Linked DNA regions of Macaca fascicularis. The protein of the gene in region 2 interacts with the protein of the main gene of each other region in a pairwise test. Links are inferred from orthologs where the notes say so. Each region holds a gene or a part of one and is shown on either strand. Other genes may lie near its edges.

What was found.
Region 1: the proteins of TRIM23 (region 2) and LNX1 interact in binary tests that used the Homo sapiens proteins (3 or more experiments, as listed by UniProt). The link is inferred for Macaca fascicularis from reciprocal best matches to the Homo sapiens genes TRIM23 and LNX1.
Region 3: the proteins of TRIM23 (region 2) and TRIM29 interact in binary tests that used the Homo sapiens proteins (3 or more experiments, as listed by UniProt). The link is inferred for Macaca fascicularis from reciprocal best matches to the Homo sapiens genes TRIM23 and TRIM29.
Region 4: the proteins of TRIM23 (region 2) and ARHGEF3 interact in binary tests that used the Homo sapiens proteins (3 or more experiments, as listed by UniProt). The link is inferred for Macaca fascicularis from reciprocal best matches to the Homo sapiens genes TRIM23 and ARHGEF3.
Region 5: the proteins of TRIM23 (region 2) and ATPAF2 interact in binary tests that used the Homo sapiens proteins (3 or more experiments, as listed by UniProt). The two-hybrid records come from large-scale screens. The link is inferred for Macaca fascicularis from reciprocal best matches to the Homo sapiens genes TRIM23 and ATPAF2.
Region 6: the proteins of TRIM23 (region 2) and TNFAIP3 interact in binary tests that used the Homo sapiens proteins (3 or more experiments, as listed by UniProt). The two-hybrid records come from large-scale screens. The link is inferred for Macaca fascicularis from reciprocal best matches to the Homo sapiens genes TRIM23 and TNFAIP3.
Region 7: the proteins of TRIM23 (region 2) and BRME1 interact in binary tests that used the Homo sapiens proteins (3 or more experiments, as listed by UniProt). The two-hybrid records come from large-scale screens. The link is inferred for Macaca fascicularis from reciprocal best matches to the Homo sapiens genes TRIM23 and BRME1.

The regions. Positions count from the first base shown.
Region 1 is NC_088379.1:80,434,051-80,438,038, forward strand, and holds part of LNX1 (E3 ubiquitin-protein ligase LNX), read left to right. Parts: intron 1-1,643; coding exon 1,644-1,821; intron 1,822-3,696; coding exon 3,697-3,925; intron 3,926-3,988.
Region 2 is NC_088380.1:71,308,214-71,312,201, reverse strand, and holds part of TRIM23 (E3 ubiquitin-protein ligase TRIM23), read left to right. Parts: intron 1-268; coding exon 269-390; intron 391-2,612; coding exon 2,613-2,891; intron 2,892-3,443; coding exon 3,444-3,626; intron 3,627-3,988.
Region 3 is NC_088388.1:118,981,785-118,985,772, reverse strand, and holds part of TRIM29 (tripartite motif-containing protein 29), read left to right. Parts: intron 1-760; coding exon 761-853; intron 854-3,056; coding exon 3,057-3,155; intron 3,156-3,988.
Region 4 is NC_088376.1:120,162,083-120,166,777, reverse strand, and holds the start of ARHGEF3 (rho guanine nucleotide exchange factor 3), read left to right. Parts: upstream 1-1,727; 5' UTR 1,728-2,443; intron 2,444-4,695. UniProt on the Homo sapiens protein: Acts as a guanine nucleotide exchange factor (GEF) for RhoA and RhoB GTPases.
Region 5 is NC_088390.1:18,132,776-18,135,570, reverse strand, and holds the end of ATPAF2 (ATP synthase mitochondrial F1 complex assembly factor 2), read left to right. Parts: intron 1-1,603; coding exon 1,604-1,741; 3' UTR 1,742-2,027; downstream 2,028-2,795. UniProt on the Homo sapiens protein: Plays a role in the assembly of the F1 component of the mitochondrial ATP synthase (ATPase).
Region 6 is NC_088378.1:41,910,730-41,914,717, reverse strand, and holds part of TNFAIP3 (tumor necrosis factor alpha-induced protein 3), read right to left. Parts: intron 3,566-3,988; exon of another isoform or gene 3,290-3,565; intron 3,189-3,289; coding exon 2,879-3,188; intron 1-2,878. UniProt on the Homo sapiens protein: Ubiquitin-editing enzyme that contains both ubiquitin ligase and deubiquitinase activities.
Region 7 is NC_088393.1:14,324,835-14,329,418, reverse strand, and holds the start of BRME1 (break repair meiotic recombinase recruitment factor 1), read left to right. Parts: upstream 1-1,448; 5' UTR 1,449-1,496; exon of another isoform or gene 1,497-1,858; intron 1,859-2,830; 5' UTR 2,831-2,851; coding exon 2,852-2,882; intron 2,883-4,584. Other genes in the region: CC2D1A (coiled-coil and C2 domain-containing protein 1A), read right to left, coding at 1,055-1,114. UniProt on the Homo sapiens protein: Meiotic recombination factor component of recombination bridges involved in meiotic double-strand break repair.

The DNA.
Region 1 (3,988 bases), on a different chromosome or scaffold from region 2:
GGTTTTATAATTCCTTCCACCTCCTCCTCATGAAAGAGCTGGGAGGATCTGATCACATTTCTGCTGCAACCCTCTGTCATGTGTCTTAATTCCTGGAAACATACAAATTGACTTAGTGGGAATTGTAATTATTTCCATTTTAACTTATATTCTATCTGCCTTCTGAAATATCCTCACAAAAAAGTAACATATTTAAAATAAAACTAAGACATATATGATTCTTTGATGATTTCAATTTTTATATTCTTACTAAAATTTTGTTTGGTTTAGGAAACTAGGTAGCTTTTTAAAAATAAGAGCTTAAACAATTCAAAGAAATACCAAAGAAGACAAAGCAGGATTTGTGGGACAGAAAACTTTTAGCCAATTAAAAAAGTCAAGGAATGATAGGCATCAAATTTTGCATGGTTTCCCTCTGTGGGGAGGAAAGGACTATGAGCAGAAAGAGTGACAGAGGGACTAAGTGCACATGGAATGTTTATTTCTGATGTAGGGTTTTGAGGTACATGGGTAGGTCATTCTGTTATTCTTTATGCTTTGTTACTTGTCTAAAATGTTTTATTCTAAATATCCAAAGCAAATATTCTAAAATAGAAATACGTCTTATAGTTTGAGAAATACTCAGGTACCCATCGTGTTTTTAATTAGCTTAAACTATTTTATCATAAATTATGTTTTTAAACATCAAGGAACATTTTAAGGTGTCCAAAGTAGGGTGAGGAGAATGGAGAGAAAAGATAGATAGAAAAGTCATCTCTATCATACATAACTATCCTCCTCTCCAGCCAAAGTCAGGTAACCCCGGGTATGAAGCTTTCACAGATTATTTCTTTTTTTTTTTTTTCCCATTGCTGACATTGGTCTCTTTCTGGTTGAGAAAGGAAATGGTCATGAACATTGGTTCATGAGACACAGAACACATGCATACATGTCGTATTTGTGGTATTTCAGCCATTGCATCCAGCCCCTCAGTGCACAACTAAACATCGCTTGCTCACCGCAGGCAAGGCTGTCTGGTAAGTACTGAGCAGGTGTGAAAGAAGACTCTATAAAATGTGGTTACTTTTTTTAACTTAGAAAAGTTTCTGATACTCATAAATGACAGTGTTTCTGAAATGCTGACTCACTACTATCAGGAATAAATGACTCACTTGCGAAATTTTGAGTGCAGTCTGTGTACTTAAGATTCTTCCATGGCCAGACGCAGTGGCTCATGCTTGTAATCCCAGCACTTTGGGAGGCCAAGGCACTTGGAGCCAGGAGTTCGAGACCAGCCTGAGCAATAAAGCAAGGCTTTGTCTCCACCAAAAATATTTTAGAAATGTATTTTTCTAATGGTCTCTAATCTGTTCCTTCCTCCATTTTTACTCTTTCCTTTTGAAATGTAAACTTTATCTGAGTTAACCTATAGAATTTGGGACAATGTAACCCTATTATGGTTGGGGTGAATAAGTTGAGGGTTCTTTCCACGTGTCTTTCTCTGTGATTTCAAGAACCACCATTGTATTTATGCACTTTTCATAATTTATGCAGTTTTGGTAGTTTTTGCATTTAGAAAACGGAAACCCACTTTGCATTTTCTACATTCAAAAACTACCAGAGTTGTAAATTCATGTGCCATGTTTTTCTGTCTGTGCTTTCAGCCCCTCCATCCTAAAATTACTTGTCATGAGAAGGTGGTAAATATCCAAAAAGACCCCGGCGAATCTCTCGGCATGACCGTCGCAGGGGGAGCATCACATAGAGAATGGGATTTGCCTATCTATGTCATCAGTGTTGAGCCCGGAGGAGTCATAAGCAGAGATGGAAGAATAAAAACAGGTAAAAAGTAAAGGGATGTTAAAGGCACTGGGGTGGCAGAGTATTATGAGAAATTAGTAGCTTGTTGTGTTAGGTGACTATTTTCAAAATTAATGAGAGAATGTGGGAGTGATCAGCCAGGACTTTTGTTACCCATTGCCCTTGACTGGTTTGAGTATAGATACTAGACCAGGTTCCACTCTTCTTAGTTGCAGGCCAACTTGCCTGCAAGTAAAGCTGGAATCTCCAAACAGTTCCAGGAATTAATAGAGAACTGCTAAAGTTATGAGCAAGTTACCTCTATTAAATGGCATAATTTAGTTCCATTCATTCTACATGGTTCTTTGGTGGGTTGATCCAGTGGTGAAACTAATTCATGAATTATTCCATTATGTGAGTTAGATAGAAAAACTCATTTGATAGATTTGATTCCATGAATACTCATTAAGTGAAAGTATCATGCTAGATACTTTCCCAGGGTGAAAAGTATTTCACTACTTTAAGCTCATATGTTCTGGGCTACTTTGAATAAATAAAGGAAGGTGATATCAAATTTGCCTCTACAAATATGTATCCTTAATAATATTGTCAGTTCATACAAGAGGGTAGCTCGGATGGATGAGGATTTATGCCATTTAAAAGTCCAGATTCAAGAGATATATTGAAGTTTCCCAAGTACAGTTGCTGAGCCTGAGGAGCCACAGGGGGATGGTATATTAAGAGATTTAGTCAGCTGGCTGAAAGATGCTTCTTTTGGGTCAGAAAGGACTCAGGGCCCTTCTCTTTTTTCTCCTCCTATCTTTTTTGCTCTTGCTGTGGTTATTCTGTCTAAGAAAGATAAGCAAAAGAGGACAGAAAGAAACAGGATGAAGATAAAAGAATAGAAAATGGAAATAGGAGAGATGTATGTTTTAATTTCTCTTTTCTGCAAAACACCTGGGTGGAGAATGATGAGGCCAAACAAAGTGGCTTGTTAACAAATGACTTCTTAACAGAACATGAGCTAGAGGATTATATGATCTGTATGGAAATGATCTTGCACATTGTAGGTGCTTAATCAGTAGTAGCTATTTTCACCTTGGCAATGAAAATGTTGTTCTTTCTGCTTCTTTAAGAGTGCAGCTCTGGCCGGGCGCAGTGGCTCACGCCTGTAATCCCAGCACTTTGGGAGGCCGAGACGGGCGGATCATGAGGTCAGGAGATCGAGATCATCCTGGCTAACACAGTGAAACCCCGTCTCTACTAAAAAATACAAAAAACTAGCCGGGTGAGGTGGCGGGCGCCTATAGTCCCACCTACTCGGGAGGCTGAGGCAGGAGAATGGTGTGAACCCAGGAGGCGGAGCTTGCAGTGAGCTGAGATCCGGCCGCTGCACTCCAGCCTGGGCAAGACAGCGAGACTCCACTTCAAAAAAAAAAAAAAGTGCAGCTCCACGACTCCTCTGCCAGACACTCTCATGGGTAGTTTCTTTTCATTCAATCCATATTTACTGGATGCCTACTACATGCCTGGCTCTGTGCAAATGCTGGAGCTTTTGCCAAATCCTCCTACTTTATGCTAAACACAAGAAACAAAAGAGTGAAAAAGTAGGTTTTCTTTGATTAAATAGTGAACAAGACTAATTTTCCTCTCTCTCTTCCTTCCTTCCTTCCTTCCTTCCTTCAGCAAGAGCCAAACACCAATAGGTGTGCTTTAGAAAACCCCAAACAAGTCTTAACGGCACCTTGGAATGCACACACTTTACCATGTGCTTTGTGGGCACCCAGCCTCCCGTTAACAAAGAAAACCTTTACCCTCTGCATGTCTGCATCCCATCAGCCCCTACCCCCTTGCACTTGAAGCAGAAGTCATGTTTGTGCTCTCACTCAAGATAGCTTCTGCTTCTCTGGCCATCAGGTGACATTTTGTTGAATGTGGATGGGGTCGAACTGACAGAGGTTAGCCGGAGTGAGGCAGTGGCATTATTGAAAAGAACATCGTCCTCGATAGTACTCAAAGCTTTGGAAGTTAAGGAGTATGAGCCCCAGGAAGACTGCAGCAGCCCAGCAGCACTGGACTCCAACCACAACATGGCCCCACCCAGTGACTGGTCCCCATCCTGGGTCATGTGGCTGGAATTACCACGGTAAGTCCCAACGCAACATCCCTGTAGGGGTGTGGGAGGAAATGATTACATTTCTTAAACCAC
Region 2 (3,988 bases):
GGGATTACAGTCGTGAGCCAATGCGCCTGGCCAAAAAATAATAAATTTTAAAGTGTGTTTCTACTTGGAAGCCTGAGGGATTCTTCTGTTTTTTAAAAGAGAGTATTAACAAAGCAATTATTTTGGTATCAAATAATGGGGAAAATTTGAATTTTTCAAATTTAGACATTAACGACTGAACTATATGGATTAGAAATTACTTTTGAGGTATGGGTAAAACGATTAATAGTCCATTTTGTTAGATTTAGTTTTTGTTTTTATATTCTAGGAGATTCAGGTGTCTGGGGCTTGAAAAAAAATTTTGCTTTATTGGAACTTTTGGAACGACTGCAGAATGGGCCTATTGGTCAATATGGAGCTGCAGAAGAATCCATTGGGATATCTGGAGAGGTATTGATCATACTTGGTGAAATATTTGTTACGAGCATGAATTTTTCTTTTAATATATGCCATTATTAGCACAATATTACCTCATTTAATTCAGCAGGTAAATTTCTAGAAACACAACTTTGCATTACATTACAGTTCTAAAGGCCAGCACTATTCCCAAGAGAAAAAAGTAGAACTAGAATTATTTGAAAATACGATGCCTAAACTATGCCTTATGTGTGAACTTTTTTTCCCTTATCATAATTCAGTTCTACCAAGGATAAAGTGAAAAGAGGAAGAAGATTATAGCATAGTAAGAAAGATAAGTAAGCAACAGTGGAGCAGAGGATGCAAAAGTAAATTAGTCAACAGAAAAACTCAATGAGAGAAAGTAAAACTCCATGTAAGAGGCCATTTAATATACAGGGAAAATTGCCTTAAAGATAGCAGTAGCTTCTGAGGGAATTGTTACTATTCTATCTTCAAGAAAAAGTTAAACTTTGTATAGATGTACTGTCTTTATCCATACAGGTAGATATCTGGTAAATATTAGAATCCATGAACACTGGATTTTTTAATAATGTAAAAGTATATTTTTAGCACTTACGTATTATTTGCACAGCTGCACATATGTACTATAGGACATGGCTTTCATAGGCTATTATGGATAGAAATATATTTGGAGTAAATATCAGTTAATGATTTTGGTGATCAACTTGCAAACCACATATTTGTATCAAGAAAAAAAATGTCGGATTGCTTTCTGCTTCTCTTTTATTAGATGATGATTTCTTTATACTGAAGTGAATCAGTGAAATTAATTTCAAACTGCAACACTCTGTTTTCTAAAATTTCTGCAGTTCTTTCATGTGCTAAATCTTTACTTCAAAAGACATTACTGTTAGCTAATGTTGACTTTATAATTTATAATTTATTTATTTGTCAGGTCTGGAAAACAGAAGACCTGAATTTTTATGGTACATATATACACTTCTTATAATTGCAAACAAAACTCTTCCACTTTGGATTCGTTTTTTATTTAATGTGATAATGAATGACACCACTGATGTATTTAAACATTTTTATTTTTGAAAAAATTTATACTAAATTTCTCCCCTTCCACTTATGGCCTTTTAACGTTTAGTAAAAGTGTTCAAAGCATTCTTGATTATCTGACATGTAATATTTTATCTACTTGAAATAAAAATAATTATTTAGTAATTATTTTTTGTAATTCCTGAAAACTAGAAATAATATTTAGATGCTTACATATAGGTTTTATTTGTTTATTAATTGTTATTTTTTAAGACAGAGTCTTGCTCTGTCACCCTTGCTGGAGTGCAGTGGCGTGATCTCAGTTACCTGCAGTCTCTGCCTCCTGGCTTCAAGTGATTCTTGTGCCTCAGCTACCTGAGTAGCTGGAATTACAGGTGTGCACCACCACACCTGACCAATTTTTGGATGTTTAGTAGAGATAGAGTTTCTCCATGTTGGCCAGACTGGTCTCTTACTCCTGGCCTCAAGTGATTACCTGCCTCAGCCTTCTTAAAGTGCTGGGATTACAGGTGTGAGCCACTGAGCCTGGCCTATTTTTTTTTTTTAATTATTTGCTTAAATCAGTGGTTTTCTGCCATGATTGTGCAATAGACTCACCTGTGGAGCTATTAAAATATGTGGTGTATAATTAGAAAAATATATACAAGTCTAGGGTTCATCCACAACCTGTTGAAATAAGAATTTCTCAGATTAGCGTCCAGACAACTATGTTTTTAAAAGCTTACAGCTAATTCCTACATTTTCTAAATAGTATTTGTGCTTCTGTCCTTCCTGTACATCATCATGACAACTAATACTTAAAGCTATGGGGTTATGTTTAGTATCAGATTTTTGTAGTTTTAAAAAAAGACTTTTGACTTCTCTATGGTTTAGTTTCTTTTGTGTAAAGTGAGGGGATTTGGTGGAAGAGATCTTTGCACCGAATATGAATCTACGAGAATAGTTTTATTTTTGGCTTCAAATTCATAACATATATTGGTCAGTTAATCTTGGAAATAGCTTCTTACCTGTAGAAATGAATGTTTCTCGGATGAGTATTGAATGACCTTTGTGCTTAATGACCAATATATTTTCATATGTAAATATTGGTCAGTAAAGCTAAAAAGATTATGGGATTCTATATTTAAAAATTTGTCATGTTATACTGATTGGGTTCAATTTTAAGGCATTAATTTTTTGTTTATCAGAGCATCATTCGTTGTGATGAAGATGAAGCTCACCTTGCATCTGTATATTGCACTGTGTGTGCAACTCATTTGTGCTCTGAGTGTTCTCAAGTTACTCATTCTACAAAGACATTAGCAAAGCACAGGCGAGTTCCTCTAGCTGATAAACCTCATGAGAAAACCATGTGCTCTCAGCACCAGGTGCATGCCATTGAGTTTGTTTGCTTAGAAGAAGGTTGTCAAACTAGCCCACTCATGTGCTGTGTCTGCAAAGAATATGGAAAACACCAAGGTCACAAGGTATGAATTTAATTATTAATCAATTGGATCACTGTAGCTACTTTACCAGCTCAGTATTCGTTTTCACTGACCTGGTTCTTTATTCTGAAAGTAGGCATTGAAGAAGAGTTAAGTGATGAATGATTGTGTTTGGTAGCATGAAAATAAATGAGAGATTTAATTTCTAAATGTTATTTAAAAAAGAAAAACTTCAAAGAGCGTCATTCTTCACAAAAAAATAGCCTTTGAGCAGGAAACAAACATTCTCTTTGTTTGCATGTTTTCATAATGCACCAGATTGTTTGACAATATTTATGTCTGTTAGCTCTTACTTAGGATATAATTTTAGAGATAGTCTCTTGGTTTCTTATTTAGCAATAAATGTACTTCCAAATTTTAAATTACTTCTTTGCAGTACAGTTTTCTTATAAAGGAGTGAAAGTAAATTATAGTATTTTTCTGTGTTATAAAAGTCACTTGTGGCTGATGCTTTTTTGTATTAACAGGGATTTAAATATTTTTCTATATTATTAGTCAATACTATGAGTTCTTTTCTCATGTTACATTTTATAGCATTCAGTATTGGAACCAGAAGCTAATCAGATCCGAGCATCAATTTTAGATATGGCTCACTGCATACGGACCTTCACAGAGGAAATCTCAGATTATTCCAGAAAATTAGTTGGAATTGTACAGCACATTGAAGGAGGAGAACAAATCGTGGAAGATGGAATTGGAATGGCTCACACAGAACATGTATGGTTTTTTTTTCTTCTTCCCCTTTCTCCTTGTTTTTTATTTTTCATATTTTCACCTTCTACTAAGTATTTAATGAGCAATTACAATTTGCTAGTATTGCACCAGTCATTGGAAAGTTTTTTAAAAGTCCCTGTGTTTAAGGAAGTCATTCATCACGGAACAGAGAGAGTTTTAAATGTGGTGACTATTTTATGGAGGAGAAGTACAGGGTGCTTTGGCATCACAAAACGGGCAATGATTTATGGAGGTCAGAGAAATCTTTAGAGAAGAAACAATGTTTAAACTGAGATTTGAAGAAATTCAGTCAAGGAAAAGAGCAGAATGGGGAATGAATTGTCCCAAGAAGGGAGCAATATGTT
Region 3 (3,988 bases), on a different chromosome or scaffold from region 2:
CCTATGCTGAGGATGGGAGGGACAGGAAATCTGCCCTCTGGGAGCTCCCAGGCTCAGGGTGGAGGTGTGGGGAGGACACCAAGGAGTCACCAAGGAGATGAAAGAAACAAGGCTCCTAAAGGGACTGGGTCCTGAGTCTGGGAGCTCTGAGGTCAGTGGGATTGACAGTGACTGTGACTCCTTCCCAGGAGGGGTGAGTTTCCGGGAACCTGTGCTCAGTAGAGGGGCATGACTGCGATGGGCAGAGGGCATCAGGGACCACAGGCATAAAAGCTTACAGGAAGGACTGGCAGGGCCAGAACTGGGGGTGTGGTGTTATGAGAGGGTCAGGTGGGGAGGGACAGAGGTAATAGAGGACCAGAACACACATGGGGAGCTCATTGTTTTCAGCTGGGTATCAGTGGGGTTATCAGTCCCCACTGCTTCCTCACAAGGCTGTTGTGAGAGCCCAGGTGTGCGGAAAGGAAAGCACTTGTGAAGTGAGGCTCTGATCTCCCACCGCTTCTGCCCCTGTGGTTGCCATGGCCTCTCCAGGTTTATGCTGATGCTCTCCTCATGGTTACTAACAGAGCCCTTCTACTCTTCAAAAGCATGCCAATTTTGGTGATAAATTAGTTGATTGCCTTATGTCAGACCCGAAGGACCTCTCTCAGTGGTGGAATCCAGGTCCTGTGATGGGCACTTGGGCAACTTTTTGGGGACAAGGTGTCCTGCATGAGACCGTTTTCTGCAATGACAGCCCCCTTCATCTGCTTCACAGGTGGGGCCCGGACATCATACCAGCCCTCATCTCCCGGCCGCTTCACCAAGGAGAACACCCAGAAGAATTTCAACAATCTCTATGGCACCAAAGGTAGGTGGTGGCTCAGCTTGAGGGTGCACAGAGTTCATGGGGACTGTGCAGGCAGGAGGGGTATAGAGGTGGGGCCAGGGGGCACGGGGTTCAGACCCCAGTGTGAGATGAATGTGGGAAGCTGGGATGGGTAGGGGGCCCAGACACGGGTGGAGAGGGGTCCTACCTACCGAGCTTAAAGTGTGTGTGTGTGTGTGTGTACATGCATGGGGCACACAGTTAGGCTGGAGGAAAAATAGCCAGGAATCTCGGCATCCGTGGAGATCCTTGAGTCCGTGTGCTCTTCTGATTCCTGAGGAAGGATTTGGGGAAAACTGGGGCTGAGCAGCCACCTTGGGCTTAAGTGTGGGGAAGCCCCCCAGCCAGTATGAGGGCACGAGGGCCCACAGAGAATCTACTGATTTGCATACTTCTGCAGTGAAAAGTCGTACAGTGGTTAGTTGTTAGCTTGGCTGTGACTGGAAAGGAAGGCATGGCAGGAAATGGGACTGGCCCTGGAGCTCCAGGAGGTGAGGCGAGTGAGCAGCACCTTAAGACCTAGATGAGATGAAATGGGGGTGGGGACGTGGCTTCCCTAGGGGGAGCTGCTAAGTTCAGGGTCTCCTTCTGCCCAGTGCTCCGAGGGGACCATTTGCTCCGGGGCAGGGCCATCCACTCAATGAGACCTGGTTCTGGGAGCCCTTGGTTCTGTCCTGGGGGCTCCTGGTCACGTGCCAGCCATGCACGGGGAAGGAGGGGACTGGGTCAGCCCCCGCCCCAGACATAGCACTGGAGGACTCTTCTGTGAGGACAAGAGCCATGGAGACTGGAGGGTCAGGGGCACCACAGCAATGCCTGGGCCTCTACATCCAGGATTGGATTCACAGCCGTGACCAGTGGCACCCCCTCCTCCACATATGCAGTAGACCATGGGCACCTTGAGGACAGAGCTGTGTCTGTCCTGTTTGCTGCTACAGGCCCAGAGCTCAAAAGTAGGAGGGGGTCAGGAAGCGGTTGTTGAGAGAGAGACTAAAGGCATGAGTGAACAGAAGGGCAAGGTGTCTGGCCTCGCAGAGCCCTGGCTAGACGTGCTCACTGAGGCCTTGCTACAGAGGCTGCCTGGGATCCCTGTGGGAGGGCTTTGCACAGGGGCAGGTGGCCAGCCCCAGCCATCTCTGACCCCTGAGCCCGAAAGTCAGCCCCCAGCCCTCCCCACAAGCAGCCAAGGGGTGAGCTTGACTAAGGAGGTCACTGATGTTTCAAGCCTGGCAGATGGGGGTGCTGGAGAAGTGTGCATCACCCACGGGGGCTCTGAGCCCCCCACTCTAGTGCCCTCTGAGTGCCCTAGCAGCTCCTCCCACCCCCTTCCCATTGCCTTCTCCTTTGGACTATGGGACATGCCTGCACATAGGCGTGTGCTAGCCTATTCAACTTGGCAACTATCGACTGTCTCATCCCCAAGTTTTAGGATGTGTTTGTATTTATTTGTTCATTGGTTCATGCATTCTGTCCATCAACCATACAATGAACACCTTCCAGGAACCAGGCTCTGTGCCAGGCACCAGGTGTGATGTAGGGGCCAGACAGGCACATTCCTAGTTCATGTGAGCTCACTGCGGGAGACAGACAATTGAACATATAGTTGCCACCCAGAGGGTAGGGGGTGCAGGATGATGTGGGGATGGGGCTGAGGCACATGCAGACATTGGGGAGGTGCCATGTAAGCTGACACTTGAAGACCCCACCCTTGAATCGCCGAGGGTGGGGAGCAGGAGAAGTGTCCTAGGCAGAGGACAGGGTCTGGGTACATAGCCTGGGGCAGGAGAGAAGCTGGAGTGTCTCAGACACTGAGACTTAGCCTGGTTTGAATGTCCAGTGGTGGAGGGAGGATAGAGGCGAAGCCAAGAAGTGGGAGATGGTGGGTGTGTGGTGGGGATTGGGGAGAGCAACTCACGACAGAGCCATGGGCTGCGCTTGGGACGTTGCGCCTTATTCTGAGGACAGTGGCCTTTAGGTAGGGCAGGGACTGGACTACGCTTTATATTTTAGAAAGGTAGCTATGGTGGCAGAAGGATGGGGGTGAGGTATCACTGGGATCACAAGTGGCATCCTGGGTTAAGTTGTGGCCGGCGGCTGGAGAGTCACAGACCTGGCTGTGTCCTGGTCCTGCCTCCTCTCCCCCTCCCAGCTGTGGGGGCCTGACAGCCCTTCTTTGCCCTGCCAGGTAACTACACCTCCCGGGTCTGGGAGTACTCCTCCAGCATTCAGAGCTCTGACAATGACCTGCCCGTCGTCCAAGGCAGCTCCTCCTTCTCCCTGAAAGGTGAGCTTGCCCACCCTGGCCCCTGCTTTCCTCCACAGCTGCCCCACACCTCCCAAACCCTGCTTGGGTCTCTTCCCTGAGCTGCTAGTTCCTCCCTCACCTCGCTGTCCAGTGACCACAGCCTCTCACTGGACAGAGATCTGGCCCAGGACAGACCCTGCTTGTTTCTTGAGGGCCTCAGCTTCCAGGTCATGGCCTGTGTCTTCCCAGGCCTCCCTGCAGGCTGATGGCTGACACTGAGAGTGCCTTCACTGTGCTGTGAACCAGAGCTCCTTTCTGGTCTGTCTGGGCTGAGGCGGAGGGAGTCAGGGCGGCCCCGCCTTAGACTAGCATCTTTGTAACCAAGCTCAGAGAGCGCACCTGCTCTGGGCCTCTCGGGCTTGCCGTCCTAACCCTGGGTGGCGGCCACACTGACAAATTCCTGCCTCTCTCTAGGCCCTAGTCTCTGGCTAGTGAAATGGGAGAGGCCACAGAGCCGGGGAGAAAAAACGTGAATTTGGGTTTGGGAGTCCGGCAGCACCTGGTTTGGAATCCTGACTGCTGCTTATAAGCTGTGCAACTCAGGCAAACTGCTGAGCTCATAGATACAGGGGCCAGATGAGAGCCCGGGAGCTGCCACCATGGTCTTTGCTGAAAATGAGGACAGGAGTGGGGGCTGGGCTACATCAGCGTTTCCCAGGGCTTGTTTCACCACTCTCTAGTCTCTACCTACACGCTGCAACAACAGCTCTCAGTGGTCAGGATGGGGGGACACACCATATCCCCTGCACCCAACCTCTCTGATCCTCAGGGTGCTGCTTCTCCTACTGTGGAGTTTATTTAACTCGCAGCGT
Region 4 (4,695 bases), on a different chromosome or scaffold from region 2:
TCCTTCATCAGCTCATAAGCTCCATGAGGTCAGGGACTGTCTGTCTCGGTATCTGGGGACAGTCACTACTGTCCCCAGAGCCTAGCACAGTGTGTGGCATGTAGTAGATGCTCAAATAATTGTTAAATTGAATCTAATGCAAAGAAAACTTTTCTCTGACAAACCTGCCTGAGTAGAACACCAGGTGTTGGCTGGTGGATCTGAAGCCACTGCTGAGCTCAGATGAGGGAGCAGGCACTTCAGAGACAGGAGAAGCCCTTTGCTTAATAAATGTAATTACTTGATAAACACGGCTGGTTGTCGTAGGGATCTTCTGCATTAGGGAGTAAGGAGAATGACAAAAGGTTCTTGGGGAAAAGACTGAGGACTAGGGGTCTGGACACAGGAGTTGTCCTTGGAAATGGAGTACTGGGGAGAGTGTGTTCCCTGAACAGGAAACTGGTGGGTCACAATGCATTGGGTCTGGGGTCAAGCTGTAGTGGAATGAAGTTGCAGCTGTTGGAATAGAAGTTGGTTTGCTCAAGATGCCCAGTTTCTGGCCCAAAAGGTGGGCTGTAGGCCAGGAAGAGGCCACCCAGCACTGCGGGGCTGAGCACTGGCAACAGAAGGCAGAGGTTGCTATGAAGTAAATCTGGAAGATCTGCATCCCAGCTGCTGCTGTCACGACAGGTGGCCTCCCAGGGAGCTCTCAACCCTCACCCCCTTCCTGCACCTGGGCAAGAGCCTTAGTACCTTGGGCTGATGCTCTTTCCTCTGTAAACAGGGGGCCAGACTGTGATCCTCTGGCTCTGGGGGCTGGCTTCACCTCGCTAAGCTTCGATTTCTTCATTTGAGAAGCGGGCCCGCACAGGCTGTCGTGAATGTTAATTTCGATCAAGCACCTAAAATGCACTGCCGGCACATGGGGGCAACTGATGAATTTTTCATTTTTAGCATCGGGGTTTACATTTTCTTAAGAGCCCAGTAACGACAGTCTAGGGCATTCTTTATTTCTGATTTTAAGAGGTGATGAGGACCGTAGGCGTTCATCTGTTGAATGAATGAATGCCTGCAGAAACTCGTTTTATTTAGAGTCCCATGTTGATTTCCGCATGCACGACCCAGGCTCCTCACTTTCAGGCTCGGCGTCCACCTACAAGCCGGCGATTCCTGAGAGCCTACAGTGCGCCCGGATTCACGCAGCTCGTTCTCATTCTCACCTCCACCATCGAGGAAAGTGAGGCTTGGGCAAGATCTGACACGCCCAAGATCTGCCCAGCGGTGGGGGTGGGAGCTCCGCGTGCAGGCTCTGGCCCTGGACCGCTAGGGCAGCCCCTACCACCCCCGCACGAGAGTCCCCTCCCACTAGGGTACCCGGCCCTCGACCCACCCTCGGGGTTTCCGCGGCGCGTTCTCTGGCGGGACAGCTGGAGCCAGAGGCAGGGCTGTTTACTCCTCCGACTCGGTTAATTCTCTCAGCCTCAGTCTGATTTAGGTGGCGGCGGGGGAGGGATGTCCTGGGGTCTCCGCTCTCCTCTTTCTAGCCTTCCCGTAGACCTAGGCCGTGCATGGGGAGCTGGAGTGTCGAGCGGTGGCCGGGCGTGGCCACGTCCTAGTCCTGCGTCGCCCGGCTTCGGCGCCCGCGGGGGTCCCCGGCCCGCCTCCCGCCCACGTGGCCGGCCCGGCCTCCCCGCCCCCGGCCCCGCCCCGCCCAGGGGATCCGCCGCCGCCTCCGCGGTGAGTTCTCCAGCCTGGAGAGGCCGAACTAGCGCGGGGGCCGAGGTGAGTGCGGGCAGCAGCCGGGAACCCCGCTCCCCGGCTAGACCCTTCCCGGCTGGACACCCCCTTGGTGGGACACCCCCGCTAGATCTCCCGGAGTGAGACCCTCTTCCGGGCTGGTTCCTCCTTTGCCCCGGTCCCGGAGCTGGACCCCCGCCACTCCCACCTCCGAGTTACCCCGCCAGGTCTCGGCGCCCCCGGCGGGACCTGAGCGCTCCCTGGTCTAGGGTACGTCCAGCGCACGGGGGCGCACTGGGCGCAGTGCAAGTGGGCAGTGCCACCGCCAACCTCGACCAGTCGTCGCTCCTGCTGGGGACCCTGACTCTGGTCCCCGGGTAGCCCCTTGAGCGAAAATTCCCGGAGCCACTTCCTGGGAGGGAGGCGCCACCTGTCCTGGGACGCGCCCCTTTCGCCCAACTTTCTTCTCCAGCCTGGCGGGGCACTCGCAGGTCAGCGTCGCGTTGCGCGCTGCTGGTGGCGGCTCACAGGGCTGCGGGTCACTTCGCGGCGGGCGAGCCGGACTCAGGGCGCTCCGGGCGGCGGGCACCGTCCCAGCCTGCCTGAGGCCCTTGTCCCGGCGGCTGCATCTTTTAAACCGAGCGGCCAGAAGATCCAGAGATAGGACGCCAGGGTGGCGGACGCCAAGGGGTTAAGGTCAGCGTGGGTGCCTCGCAGCCAGAGACGGGTGAGCGTTTTCTGAGGCCGACTGAGCCGAGTGGAAACGGGTTCCCATGGGCTTTGCGGTGGTGGAGAGCTGCTTTTGCACTATCAGCGGCCCCATCACGCGCTTGAATGTTGCGGAAACAGAGCGCCTTGTTCCTAGAGGACTCGGGTTGCTGGATTTACTGCCTGTCCCAGGCTTGCTTCCCGCACTGGGCGAGGACGTGGGAATTGCCAGACGGTAGTTGACCTGAATGTACCGGTAGAAACTTATTTTTAAGCGTTTCATGCACTACCCAGGTATAACCACTTTCTTCCCTGGGGTGTGGAGGAGGAGAGCTTCGCTGGATCTTTGTCTTAGCTGTGTAGTCCTGGGCAAGTTACTTCACTTACCTATGCCTCAGTTTTCTCATCTGTAAGGTGGGGATGAAAATAGTACAAACCTTAAAGACTTGTATAGGGATAAAGTGCTTAAAATACTGACTGGGGCAGGATAAATCCTCTGTGTTAGCTGCTCTTGTGATTATTATCACTGACATCTAACAGCGCGTACACAGCCCTAGCTTCTCAATGAGGTGGGTCTGCAGGCTGTTGCTCCTTCCCCTTCTTCTGGTAAGGAGCTGGTGGTGTTTACACAGGAGCCATGGTGTTCTCTTCCGCCCTGGGAAATTTGAGCTTTGCTGTAATACTTCCTGTGGCTAACCAGCCTTGTGCAAAGTATATCTCAGAATGTGGAATTAGAGATGAACTTTGTCAAGGACTCTGTTGGGAAGTGGGGTCTTGGATCTTCTTTGGAAGCTCTGGGGTGCGATTGGATGTTTGCCTCTTGTTGGCGGGGGGAGGGTGGGTAGATTTCACTTGATTCTTTTAGGCCTTGGGTCCCCTGACAGGCTGATATTGTCTAGTCTCTGTGAGTGCGGGAGTCTCTTTCAGGGTCCGGGGACCTGATCTTGTCTTCTTCTCCCGCATTCATTCATCTCTAGCAGATTGCTCCCTCCATCTGTAGAGTTCTCCTGGGCTGCACCCGTTTAGTATCTTCTTGGAAATTTAGTTTCTGTCTTCTGAACTCCACAGATAAGAGCTCTGTACCTGGAGCCCCAGGGAATGTCCTGAAATATACATGAGGCACAGTTATTTTTCCAGAAGTTTCCCCTTACATTGTATTCTCCATGAGGCCTGTAAGTGGACTCTGAACTTCTGGTAGGAAAGTGAAGGTTCTTGCCCCCGTTACATCTCAATTCCCTGCAAATTGGGGGCTGCCCTTGTTCACCCTCCCAGAACGCACTTTTCAGTAGGCAATACAGGTCAGCCTTGACTTGGTCAATTAGGGGAAAGAGACGCAGGCTGTGAGATTAGGCACTGTTGGCCTGTGGTGAGACCTTTAGGCTGGGATGCAATTCATGAACGTTTGAGTTCAAGTTTTCAGAAGACTTCTGAGGGCCTTTGCACTTGCTGTTCCCTCAACCTAGCATGCTTTTCCATCACTTCTTCCATGCTGGGCTCTTTCTTGCCCTTTTGCCCAGATGTCTCCCCTGTACAGATGGTTCTTCTGACTACTCTATCCAAAGCAGCCCCTCCCCCATTAGTTTCTATCACATTCTTTCTTGTATTTTATTCATAGAGCTTGCCTGGGATGATCTTATTCATGCATTGATTTATGGGTTTATTGTGTGCATCCACCCAGGAGAACATAGGATTCAAGAGGGCAGAGGTGTGTTGTCCTGTTCACTACTGACTCCTGGCCCATGGCATATAGCTGGTGCACAATAACTGTCCTGAGTGAATGAACACCCATTGACTGAAGTGAGGCGAGTTTGGAGAGTAGTGAAATGCAAAGGAACTAGTTGCTGGTCGGGAGCTCAGGGTTGAAAGTGACCATGAATGTGGCATACTTTCACCTCCAGATTAAATCACCTCTGCAACATCTCTTCCTAGTTACTGTTTAACCTAAGCTTGAATCCTCTAGGCACAGGGAACTTGTCGCCTCCTGCAATAGCCTGTTCCATTGGAGGAGAGGGAACAGAGAACTATTGAAGGAGAGGGAACAGAGAACCAGATGCAGTCCCTGTACCACTGTGATGAGGACGAGCTGTGGCCTCCTGCATGCTACCGTTCTAGTCCCTCTGGTCTGCTTCGTGTCCTGACCATCCTGCATCCATCAATATCCATCTCTAAAGTTCTCTGCCATAACTAAGGTCCCTGAGCTCCTGACCAGAACTTAGTATGCTGCCCAGTCATGTGTCACCAGAGGGGGTCTGAGGCAAAGAAGCATGAAGC
Region 5 (2,795 bases), on a different chromosome or scaffold from region 2:
GTATTTCCCTAGTTCTTATAGTCTTCTGCTCAGAAAAATGCCAGGGAAAAAAACTATTTTTGTATAACAAAGTAGGCCTGCTACTATTCTCTGGATGTCAGAACCGATTACATAGGAAGGGGGTGACTTGTAGGGCTGGTGGGAAGCCAGTCTGGGCACTGCTTCTGACTATGGGACCCAAGCCAGGCCATCATTCTCTGAACTTTGGTTTCGATCCTCTACAAACAGAGGAATAACCTGAATTATGTATGTGATGGTATACAATGAAAGTATGGAATACTCTTCAGATGACTTATTACAATTGTACAGTTTGGGACCAGGCAGCCCAGAAGTTCAAATAGCTTGTGTAGCATGGCAGATTCTGAGTTCCTGGATGAGCTGGGGCGGCCAGGCCAGGCCTCTTGGGCAACTAGCCAGGGAGGAGCCAGCAGGGTCTGGTTGGAGTTACACTGTCTGGACAGCCACACCGTGTGTCTGAGGGTTCCTCCCTCTTGTTTTTAGAGCTCCAGACCCATCCTGGCTAACATGGTGAAACCCCGTCTCTACTAAAAATACAAAAAACTAGCCGGGCGAGGTGGCGGGCGCCTGTAGTCCCAGCTACTTGGGAGGCTGAGGCAGGAGAATGGCGTAAACCCGGGAGGCGGAGCTTGCAGTGAGCTGAGATCCGGCCACTGCACTCCAGCCTGGGCGACAGAGCGAGACTCCGTCTCAAAAAAAAAAAAAAAAGAGCTCCAGACAGAGAATCTGCAACGTGTCCCCAGTGTGCAGAGCAGAGGCATCTGTAGTTCTGTGACTACCACAAGAGTTAGAGTTGAAGCCACTGCATGGCCTTGCTTGATTTAGTTATTCCACCCACATGGGGCTCGGGGTGCACTTGTAGCCCAGCATGGCAAGGCAACTTGCAGAGGCTGTCCGTTCACAGGCTTCCCGGGAGGAAGTGTAGGAGAAGGGATGGCACATAAGTCAGGCCTCCTCAAAGAAGTCACATGGGTGGTTCTGGTACCCAGCCTGCTCAGTGGTGGGTGGGCAGCTACTGGCCCTGGGCCTGGACTGTACTTCTTCTAGACCATCCATGCCACAGAAAGCACAGGTGCCTGCTCTGGCTCCCTGAGTGGTTGTGTGTGTGTGTATGTGTGTGTGTGTGGTGCTCTTGAGACAGGGTGTTGCTGTGTTGCCCAGGTTGGAGTGCAGCGGTATGATCTTGGCTCACTGCAGCCTCAACCTCCTGGGCTCAAAGCAGTCCTCCTACCTCAACCTCTCAAGTAGCTGGGACTATAGGTGCACCCCCACCACACCCAGCTAATTTTTAAAACTTTTTGTAGAGATGAGGTTTCACCATATTTGCCCAGGCTGATCTTGAACTCCTGGGTTCAAGCAGTCTTCCTGCCTTGGCCTCCCAGAGTGCTGGGATTACAGGCGTGAGCCACTGTGCCTGGCCCACCTCGGTGTTCTTACCTGCCGCCTCCCTCTAGGCATGTCTCGTGTTTTGGCAAGATCCAAACCTGTTGCCCTCAGCCGAGCTATTGGAATGGAATGTGGCTTTGGCCAGGAGGCAGCCAGGCACTGGCCACTCACCCAGCAACTTGTCTTGTCTGTCCCTCAGATCCAGAAGTGGGGCAACATTGAGTGGGCCCATGACTACGAGCTGCAGGAGCTGCGGGCCCGCACCGCTGCCGGCACCCTCTTCATCCATCTCTGCTCCGAGAGCACCACAGTCAAGCACAAGCTCCTGAACGAGTGAGGCCTGGGCAGCACACACTCAGCAGGATAGAGGCAGCGCAGCCACAGCTCCCCCAACCTTCAGGGCTCCTCAGCCTGTGGGGCTGACTTACTTGACTTTTGGGGCCTCGGCCTCAGCATCACCCTGAGATTTCCCTGAAACACAGTGCGCTAGTGCGACTGTCCGGAGGTCAGCCTGATTTCAAACCAGGTGCCCCTGGCCTGGTCAGCAATGAATGTGGGAGATGAATTGTACAACTAACTTTCTCTCAACCCTGATTTTATTAAATATTTCTCCACCCTGGAAATGTGCTGAGCCCTGTTTTCACGTGCACTTCTGCACTTCTCTATTCTTCCTGTTTTGTCTAGGTTCCAGAGGGTTAAACAGCTTATCTCCCATGGCATGTTTGGATATCTGCTGCCTGTGGTTGGGAACCTTGTGCTGGGGAAACAGTCATGTCATCCACAGACAACTCTATTTGTGTTCTTCAGCCTCAACTTGAAGGCTTTTTTTGGCTGGCTTTTAATCAATCTTTTGAAATGATCGTGGTTTAAGCTGGTTGTTTCTATTTGTTCCTACTGTTCTAAAACAAGTGATTTACTCTAGAAAGTAGAAAATGGACAGGCTTGGCGAGGTCACTTGATGTGCATGTTTCCGCTCATCTCCCACCCAGGAGTCCCAGGGGTCCTCCCGACATAGCCACCTCTAATGTCCCAGGAGGCAGGTGGTGCTGTCTGGTGTCACGCCAGTAAGAGGGCAGTGGGGATCCCGAGTGTGGTTCTTAGGCAGACAGGCTGTCTCAGTCCTGTGTCCTTGCCAGCCTGAGTAAGGTAATGGCATCAACCCTGTTCACACGGCACTGATCACATGCTGGGTGCCTCTCCATGCTTCCCACGCACTGTCTCCCTGAACTGTTCCTCGAAGGCACTGTGAGGTACTATCACAGATGACACCAGGGCTGCGGGGGTGTGGTGGAGCTGGGATGCCCCGCCTGTGCTCTGCTCTTCTGGAGGGTCCTCAGGTCCCTGTGACTAACCTCAGCCTTGGTGGGCAGGCCCAGGCCCCCACACTGTGG
Region 6 (3,988 bases), on a different chromosome or scaffold from region 2:
AGCGCACACAAGGCTGCACGCACAAACCAGGAAGCAGACATGGCTTGCTAGACAGGGATGGTCTGGCTGTGACTCAATGGCAAATGACTTGACCATTCCACTTTAGCCTTTGGGCCCTGGGAGTTTCCTCTCCTGGTGTGTAAAGTGGCGTTGACAACACTGAATTACCTATGGCCTGCTAGTCCGGCTCTCAAAAATGCCTTATGCAAACCTGCTTGTTAGTAACTGTAAAGTACAAAAGTTAAAAAGCACCTGGGTGTCTAAATTTGAAAATAATTCAGTGTTTAAGGCTGACATTTTGAGAAAAAAACAAAAAACAAAAAACAAGTTTAATTGTATGCCATTAATTTGTGACATTTCCAGTTTAAAACTCACAATTCAATGGGCTGCATTTTTTTCAACCCCCAAACAATAAATCTTTTGGGGGAATGTTTAAAACAAAAAACGTTAACTCCTTAATCTCCTTTGGCAAGTGCAAAATACTTTTTATAAAGAAAAGTTAAACTGTTTCTTATATTACTCTATAAGTAGGGCAATAAAGTTATTTGAAATTTTATCAAATTGTAATTATAGTCAAACTGTAAAGAAACCAAAAAACCTCAAATATATATCCACAGCCAGTATTCCTTCAATTTATACATTTAGAAAAACTAGCTAAGTATTCAAACAAATGAACAAAAAAGATCACCCAAGCCTTGTGTCTTGGCAGACGTGTAGCAATGATTGCATTCTGTTGAAATTTCCCCTTTGCAAAATCTAGAGCAAAGATAAGGCTTTTTTTCTTCTTGTGCTTACTTTCAGTTCTTTATTGAGATGCACCAGTATAAAATTCCCTAAGTAACATCTGGAATTCCCCAGTGCTAAGTTATTTGACTAGCAATTGAGCAACAGCTATTGTACTTTTTGTTCTGGTGTGTAGACATTTAAACTGCGAAGTGCACCCTGGACTTTCCAAGTGGGTGTGGTCAGGGTGAGCTGGAATAGGGCTACTCATTATACAAGTGAAATCGCTGCAGCCAATAGACGCTGGAATTTTTCACATGAAGTTTCAATTTTATGCCACCTACTCCCTTCCTCATTCACCACAGTCTCATATCCTCAAATGCAAACTTGTGAATCACCCCCTCCCCAAACAGATATTGCCTTTGAAGAACCCTCCTATCAAGGGAAGGATTAATTTTTTTTAAAAGGTGCTAATCAAAATCAAATTTAAAAAGTCATTTGTTTTCCTCCCCTCCCTAAATATCTTTTCTTCGTTTTTTAGAATCTTAAGGAGTTTTCTTGAAAGTGAAGAAACAAAAGGATTCTGAGTCCAAAAATGATTTCCCAGAAAATGTTACACAAATACACCTGCTTTTGTAGTTTTATTTCTAGTGTGGCTCCTTGTTGATTTAAATGACATATTTGCAAAATAAGTGTTTCCTATTTATATTCCTTTTTTTTTCCTAGTGGAAATAGAGCATTTCCTTTCTTAAGGAAATAAAGCAAAAAGTCAGTTAATTCTCTTAATAAGGTTTTCCCCTTTCTACCACATTTTTAATTCAGCAGAATCTTTGTTTCTAACTCCCCCAGAGTTGACTCCATCTCTTTTTGGTAACAAATGGGAGAGGATTAAAACCACAAATTGTCAGGCACATAAACCCCGTGATGATGACTTCACATAATTACCTACCTCTATGTATCACTTTATTTAATGCCAAGAACAATGCAGACAGTAGCCATCCCCAGTTTTCTTTCTATGTATGTTTCTAAGAATCAGTGTTTCATAAGTCTAGGCAAGATGTTGGGGTAATGTACAAGAGTCCCCAGAATCAAAATTTAAAAACCCATGTCCACTAATCACTCTAAGTTACCCAAGTCAAAAAAAGCCAAAGTTAATGTACCAATGAAGTTAATTAAGTTAGTGTTCTTATCGTAATCATTGTCAACAAGGATTTTCTTCCCTTGGACATATTATTTCTATTAGGATGGCTTGGGACTGTCACAGATATAAGGACCTGAGATTCCTGCTCTTATGTAGACTATGAGCATTTAATTGATCTTGTACAGTCTACTTGCTTATTGTCATAATTATCCACATCCATAGAGTAGAATTTTGTGCCTGCATGGAGCAGTATGCTCTGACATTCCTGTTAATGCACATATTCTTACCCAAGGGAAATGATTAAAAAACAAAACAGTAAAGCTTGGAATAGGAAATAGCTACTAGTGGTAAAGGCCATTGGCAGAACAGCACAGACAGGAAGGAATTCAGTGACTAAGAACCCCTAAAAATAATGAAGGTGAAGTCTAAAATTCATGCTAAAAATTTCAGCTATCTATTTCACCTTGCAGGGCATAGGCAATAGAACCTAGGTCAGAGAGGAGGAGGAGACAAACGAAGTTCTTCATGTCTTCAACAGCCATTCACTGGTTAACCCATAAAATGCTACCAATTCAAGAAGTGTAAGAACATCACAAGCATTTTCTAATGACAGTGGGAAACAAATGTACTACCAGTTTTCACACCATGCTTTCCTTTTGAACTTAAAGGCTTGTAACATTTCCATTACGGGCCAGTGAAGGGTATTTTACAGATGATTAAACATTTGCAAGAATGAGAAACAAATTGCCTAATCGGGGTATGGTGTTTACAAATGCATTCTCCAAGCCTCAATGTGCTCTGCAATATACGCAATCAGAAAATATCCTTAATAAATAGATTCACAAAACAAGTCTGCTATTATCACATGCCCCGAATAGAGATTCTATACTAAGGTCTCAATACTAAATCTCAAGACTGATTTGAGCTTGGGCTTGTGCTAGTAAAGCTTGAATGGGGACCCAGCAGGCGGGAGCTATCACCCAGGCAAAAGAAGCACAACAGATCAAGTTTTACCGTTCGTTTTCAGCGCCACAAGCTTCCTGACTTCTCGACACCAGTTGAGTTTCTTCTGGCTTTCCAGGGAAGCCTGGATGTTTTTGTCGATGAGGGCTTTGTGGATGATCTCCCGAAACTGAGGACAAAACTGGCAAGTTCTGAACATTTCCAGTGTGTATCGGTGCATGGTTTTAAAATGATGAATGATCCCATTAGTAGGTTTAAAAATATCTTCTGGAGTTCTCTCCCGTATCTTCACAGCTTTCCGCATATTGCTCAAATACAAAGCCTGAGGAAGGACTTGTTCAGCCATTGTGCTCTCCAACACCTGAAAAGGAAAGGAAAAAAAAGCCATTCCATTAGCCTAACTTTAATACGACTCCTATATAGCTGCCTGCAGGAAACCCCAGTGTTTGATCTTGTCATTACCCTGATCTGTAGGCAAAAGATCTTAGCACCTCTACTCCCGGGATACTAGCTGGCCCCAGAGATTAACTCACACTGGACTGTTTTAAGTTACATCACTTGAAAAGATTAGCCTAAACAGGAGAAGGAAGGCAGAGAGTGGGTACTGAGGAGGAGGGGAATAACCCGTGTTTTCAGTAACTTTTGTCAGGGAGCCAACCCTGTCTGACAGCAACAGGTACTGCTCCTCAAAACCAACGTAAGCTCCTGTTTCATTCTGAGGCCACGCTGAACAGCGCTGGATTTGGGGAGTACCGGATGCCAGTTAAGGGCTCAACATAGCCCTGACAAGTCTGTAGCTCCTCCCCTCAGACCACCACCAGGCAATCCTACTCTTGGGCCAAATCTTGAGTTATCACTCCCTCCCCTATGCTGGAAGGACAGTAAAATACTTTATGAAAAATCTTGCAATTTTATGCTGTCACTTAGGCTGCTGGCTGGTGTTTCCTCTTTATTCCCAAAGAGAAGTATTTATAAAGTGTGTATTCATAAAGTTTATTCTAATGTTTATAAAGAGTTAAAACCGAATGTTTTCTAATCAATAAAAAAGCCCATTTCCACCAAGATACTTTGTAATTTTAAGAGCAGTCAGCATTCCTTCAGAACCTCCCAATAGGACTTCATATCAGAATAAGAAACAGACTAACAATAGGCTAGGCATGG
Region 7 (4,584 bases), on a different chromosome or scaffold from region 2:
TACAGGTGCCCACCACCATGCCCAGCTAATTTTTGTATTTTTAATAGAGATGGGGTTTCGCCATGGCCTCCCAAAGTGCTGGGATTACAGGTGTGAGACACCGCACCCGGCTTCCATTTTTAATTTTTAATTTTTATTTTAGAGATTCTTGTTCTATCACCCAGGCTGGAGCAGAAGTAGTGCGATCATAGCTCACTGCAGTCTTGAACTCCTAGGCTCAAGCAATCCTCCCTTCTTAGCCTCCCAAATAGCTAGGACTACAGGCACATGCCGCCATGCCCAGTTAGTCCTTTTATTTTTTGTTGAGACGGGGGTCTCGCTTTTGCCCAGGCTGGTCTCAAACTCTGGCCTCAAATGACTCTCCCGCCTCTGCCTCCATCTCCTGAAGTGCTGGGATTATAGAGGTCTCCATTTTACAGATGAGAAAGCTGAGGCTCAGAGCTGTAAAGTCAAATGTCCAATGTACAGAGGCCAGGAGGGAACTTCAGGTCAGCCAGACTCTAATATCTGAACACCAAGCTATGTCCTGGGCTCCTTCCATGAAAACAGAAAAATCAAACTATCTGGTGCCTGGGGCAGAGGAGTTGGGAGAGGGAGAAGGGGCCCAGCCACAGTGCCATAAGTGCCATAAGCTTACGGCTGCGGCCCTGGATTTGTGCTTAGCTCTGGCCAAGCTGTTAATCCCTATGACCTTGGGCAGATGTCTTCACGTCTCTGAGTCTCAACGTCCTCATCTGTACAATGGAATAGAGTCTGGCATGGCCCGACTGATGCAAGGGTTTGATGTGTCAAGTCCGAGGACTGCCCCTCCCCGACTGGAGCAGCTGTGGCAACAGGTGGCCCCGAACCTGGGGCAGGGCCCCAGGAGCTGGGGAGCCAAGGCCAGTAGTAGACCACACTTGAGTGGGGTTGGGGCCTCACCTGGAGGGGGGGCGGGGACCGGGGTTTACCTGGGGGGCGGAGATCGGGCCTCCCTGGGGGGTGGGGCCCTTCCCTGAGTGTGTGACCGGGGTGGGGAGGGATCCCCAGGTCGCGCCGTGGGGCGCAGACTCACCTGGCGGGCGGCCGCGGCGCCTCTGCCCGGGGGTCCCGGGGGTCCTTTCCTCTTGTGCATCTTCCAGGCTGGATGCCCGAACCACCTGCCCCCAAGCCCGGCCTTGCCCTGCCTCCTTCCCCGGGCCCTGTCGCCGCGCACGCGCCCTTCCTGAGTCCTGCAACCCTCGTCGGCGCTCCGCGGCCGTCGATCCCAAGCCCTCGCCTCCCTGCTTGGCCGCCCCACTTCCGCCTCGGGCCTCGGGCGCCGCTGCACCGGAGCGCGGCCACTGGACTCGCCGGGTCCGCCGAGCCGAAACTACAACTCCCGGCAGGCAGTGCGCGGGCGCGCATGCGCTTCGCAGGGCGGTGCTCACAGTCGCGGGCTGCGTGGGCGGTGCTTGCGTCGCGCATGCGCGGGGCGGGGCCTCGCGAGGCGCGGGAAAGAGGCAGAGCGAGCGCAGGTGGGAGGGGCGGCGACCTGTGTGAGGTTCACAGCGTCCCTCAGTCACCGATAGGCTCCGGCTTCACGTGGGCGGAAGGACTCACTGTGAGGACTCACTGTGGAGTTCTCACTTTTCGGTGGTCGACGTAGTGTTAGTGTGGGGCTTGTCACCGGGAGCGGGGTCCACAGCGCCCACCCTCAGGCCTTTCCATCCTTCAGCTCCCGACTCGAGGCCTCCAGGCTTCTGTGAGGGCCAATTTGGCCATTTATTTTTTCCAAAAAGAGTAAACGCTGATAATTCAACCGACTTATTCCCAACGGATCCAGGCAGAGTTCGTCTCTGATAAGGACAGAGGGTCTTCAGCGACTTCTGCGGCCCAGGTCCGTTTTGGCTTGCCTGGCCCCCAAGGCTGGGAGAAACCGGCCTGTGGCAGCTCTTGCCCCTCCAAGGATGCAGCTGTCCCCTTTAAAATGGCATGATCTTGGCTCACTGCAACCTCTGCCTCCTGGGTTCAAGCGATCCTCGTGCCACAACCTCCTGAGTAGCTGGGATTACGGGTGTGTGCCACCATGCCTGGCTAATTTTTTTTTTTTTTTTTTTTTTTTTTTTTTTGAGACGGAGTCTTGCTCTGTCGCCCAGGCTGGAGTGTAGTGGAGCGATCTCGGCTCACTGCAAGCTCCGCCTCCTGGGTTCAAGGAATTCTACTGTCTCAGCCATCCGAGTAGCTGGGATTACAGGTGTGTGCCACCACGCCCAGCTAATTTTTGTACTTTTAGTAGAGACGGACGGGGTTTCACCGTATTGGTCAGGCTGGTCTGGAACTCCTGACCTCAAGTGATCCGCCCACCTCAGCCTCCTAAAGTGCTGAGATTACAGGCGTGAGCCACCGCGCCCAGCCTAATTTTTGTATTTTTAGTAGAGAGGGGGTTTCACCATATTGGCCGGGCTGGTCTCCAAAGGCCCCAGAGGCCCCTGGAGAGTCCTCAAGTGTCCTTGGAAGGGCCCCCAGATACCCTAGTCGGGAGGGAGGGTTCACACAGGCTGTTTCATCCCAGGGACCAGAGTGTAGGTCCCCGGGGCTTCCCATAAGGACCCCCGAGGTCCCATTTGTCTTTCAGGTCCTGGGCATAAGATCTTTAGTTTGGAGGAGGTTTGAATTCCTACCTGGCCATGGTCCAAAGTAGCTGTGACTCTGTGTCCCACGCTGTGTCCCAATGGGAGCCATCTGACCCCTGGGGCAGCCACATGAGCCGAGGTGGAGGCGGGGGTAACCTCTGCTCTCAGCCAAAGCCACTGGATATAAACAGAGACAGGGACTGCTTATAATGATGAGAGATTTTGCTTGTTTTCAGATTTCTCAAGGGGAAGATAAAATGACAAAGAGGAAGAAGCTGCGGACCTCAGGTATGTTCATTCAAATGAACACTTCTTGATTTCTACTTCTGCTCGTGGGAAGAATGTGGGCTTGTGTATTGCAGATTTGGCTAACATGACCGTCCCAACCTCCTTAAAAGAAAATAAGGATTGGCCAGGTGCAGTGGCTCGTGCCTGTAATCCCAGCACTTTGGGAGGCCAAGTGGGCAGATCACAAGGTCAGGAGTTTGAGACCAGCCTGACCAACATGGTGAAACCCCATCTCTACTGATAATACAAAAATTAGCCAGGTGTTGTGGCACGTGCCTGTAGTCCCACCTACTCGGGAGGCTGAGGCAGGAGAATCACTTGAACCTGGGAATCCGATGTTGCAGTGAGCTGAGATGGTGCCAGTGCACTCCAGCCTGGGCAACAGAGCAAGACTCTGTCTCAAAAAAAAAAAAAAAAAAAGAAGAAGAAAAGGATTTAATTCAAATAGAAGGCCGGGTGTGGTGGCTCACACCTGTAATTCCAGCACTTTGGGAGGCCGAGGTGGGCAGATCGCTTGAGTCCAGGAGTTCGAGACCAGCCTGGGCAACATAGTGAGATCCTGTCTCTACAATGTAAAGTAAGGAAATTAGCTGGTTGTGGTGGTGGCAGGCATCTGTAGTCCCAGCTACTCAGGAGGCTGAGGCAGGAAGATTGCTCGAACTGGGAGGTGGAGGTTGCAGAGAGTCAAGATCGCACCACTGCACTCCAGCCTGACTGATAAGAGTGAGGCCCTGTCTCAAAAAAGAAGGAAAGAAAGAAAAATAGAAATAATGGAGAGGGCATACAGGAAAAGTAAAAGTGAAAGTTTTCTGGAGCTTCTGCAAGCCTCTGGTGGGGTCCCACAGCTTAGAGGAGGCCTCCCCAGGCTTCAGGGCAGCGGGACAGCCTCCCTGCGGAACCAGTACTAGAGATGACCCCTGGAATAATGCTTGATGTACTACAAGGCTACTTGGCATGTGGCTGAGTGTTTTACTCTGGGGCCCAAAACCTGGGTTCATCCCAGTTCTGCTCACTGTGTGGTGGTGGATGATTTCCTCTGTGCCTCAGTTTCCCCTTTTGTAAATTGGGGATAATAAAAGTCACCACCCTTTCCTTTAGAGCAGTGTTTATCAACTAGGTGACAGGAAGGGATTTTGACCCCCAAGGGATAGTTGGCAATGTTTGGAGACTTTTTTGTTTTGGAGACCAAGTCTGACTCTTGTCCAGGCTGGAGTGCAGTGGCGAGATCTTGGCTCACTGCAGCCTCCACCTCCCGGGTTCAAGTGATTCTGCAGCCTCAGCCTCCTGAGTAGCTGGGACTACAGATGTATACCACCACACCTGCCTAATTTTTGTATTTTTAGTAGAGATAGGGTTTCACAACGTTGGCCAGGCTGGTCTCAAACTCCTGACCTTGGGCGATCCGCCTGCCTCAGCCTTCCAAAGTGCTGGGATTGCAGGTGTGAGCCACTGTGCCTGGCCTAGAGACTTCTTTTGGTTTTCATAACTGGGGAAATGATACTGACATCTAGTGGGTGGAGGCCAGGGATGCTGCTCAAATATCCTACCATGCATAGGATGCCCCCCAACCACAGAGAATGATCCAATCCCAAATGTCCTCCAAGGTGGAGAATCCTGCCCTTAGAGCTCACATGTGGGTTAGTATCTGTAAAGCACCCAGAACTGACCTAAGGCAGTACACAAATGTAGACTGCTATTAACA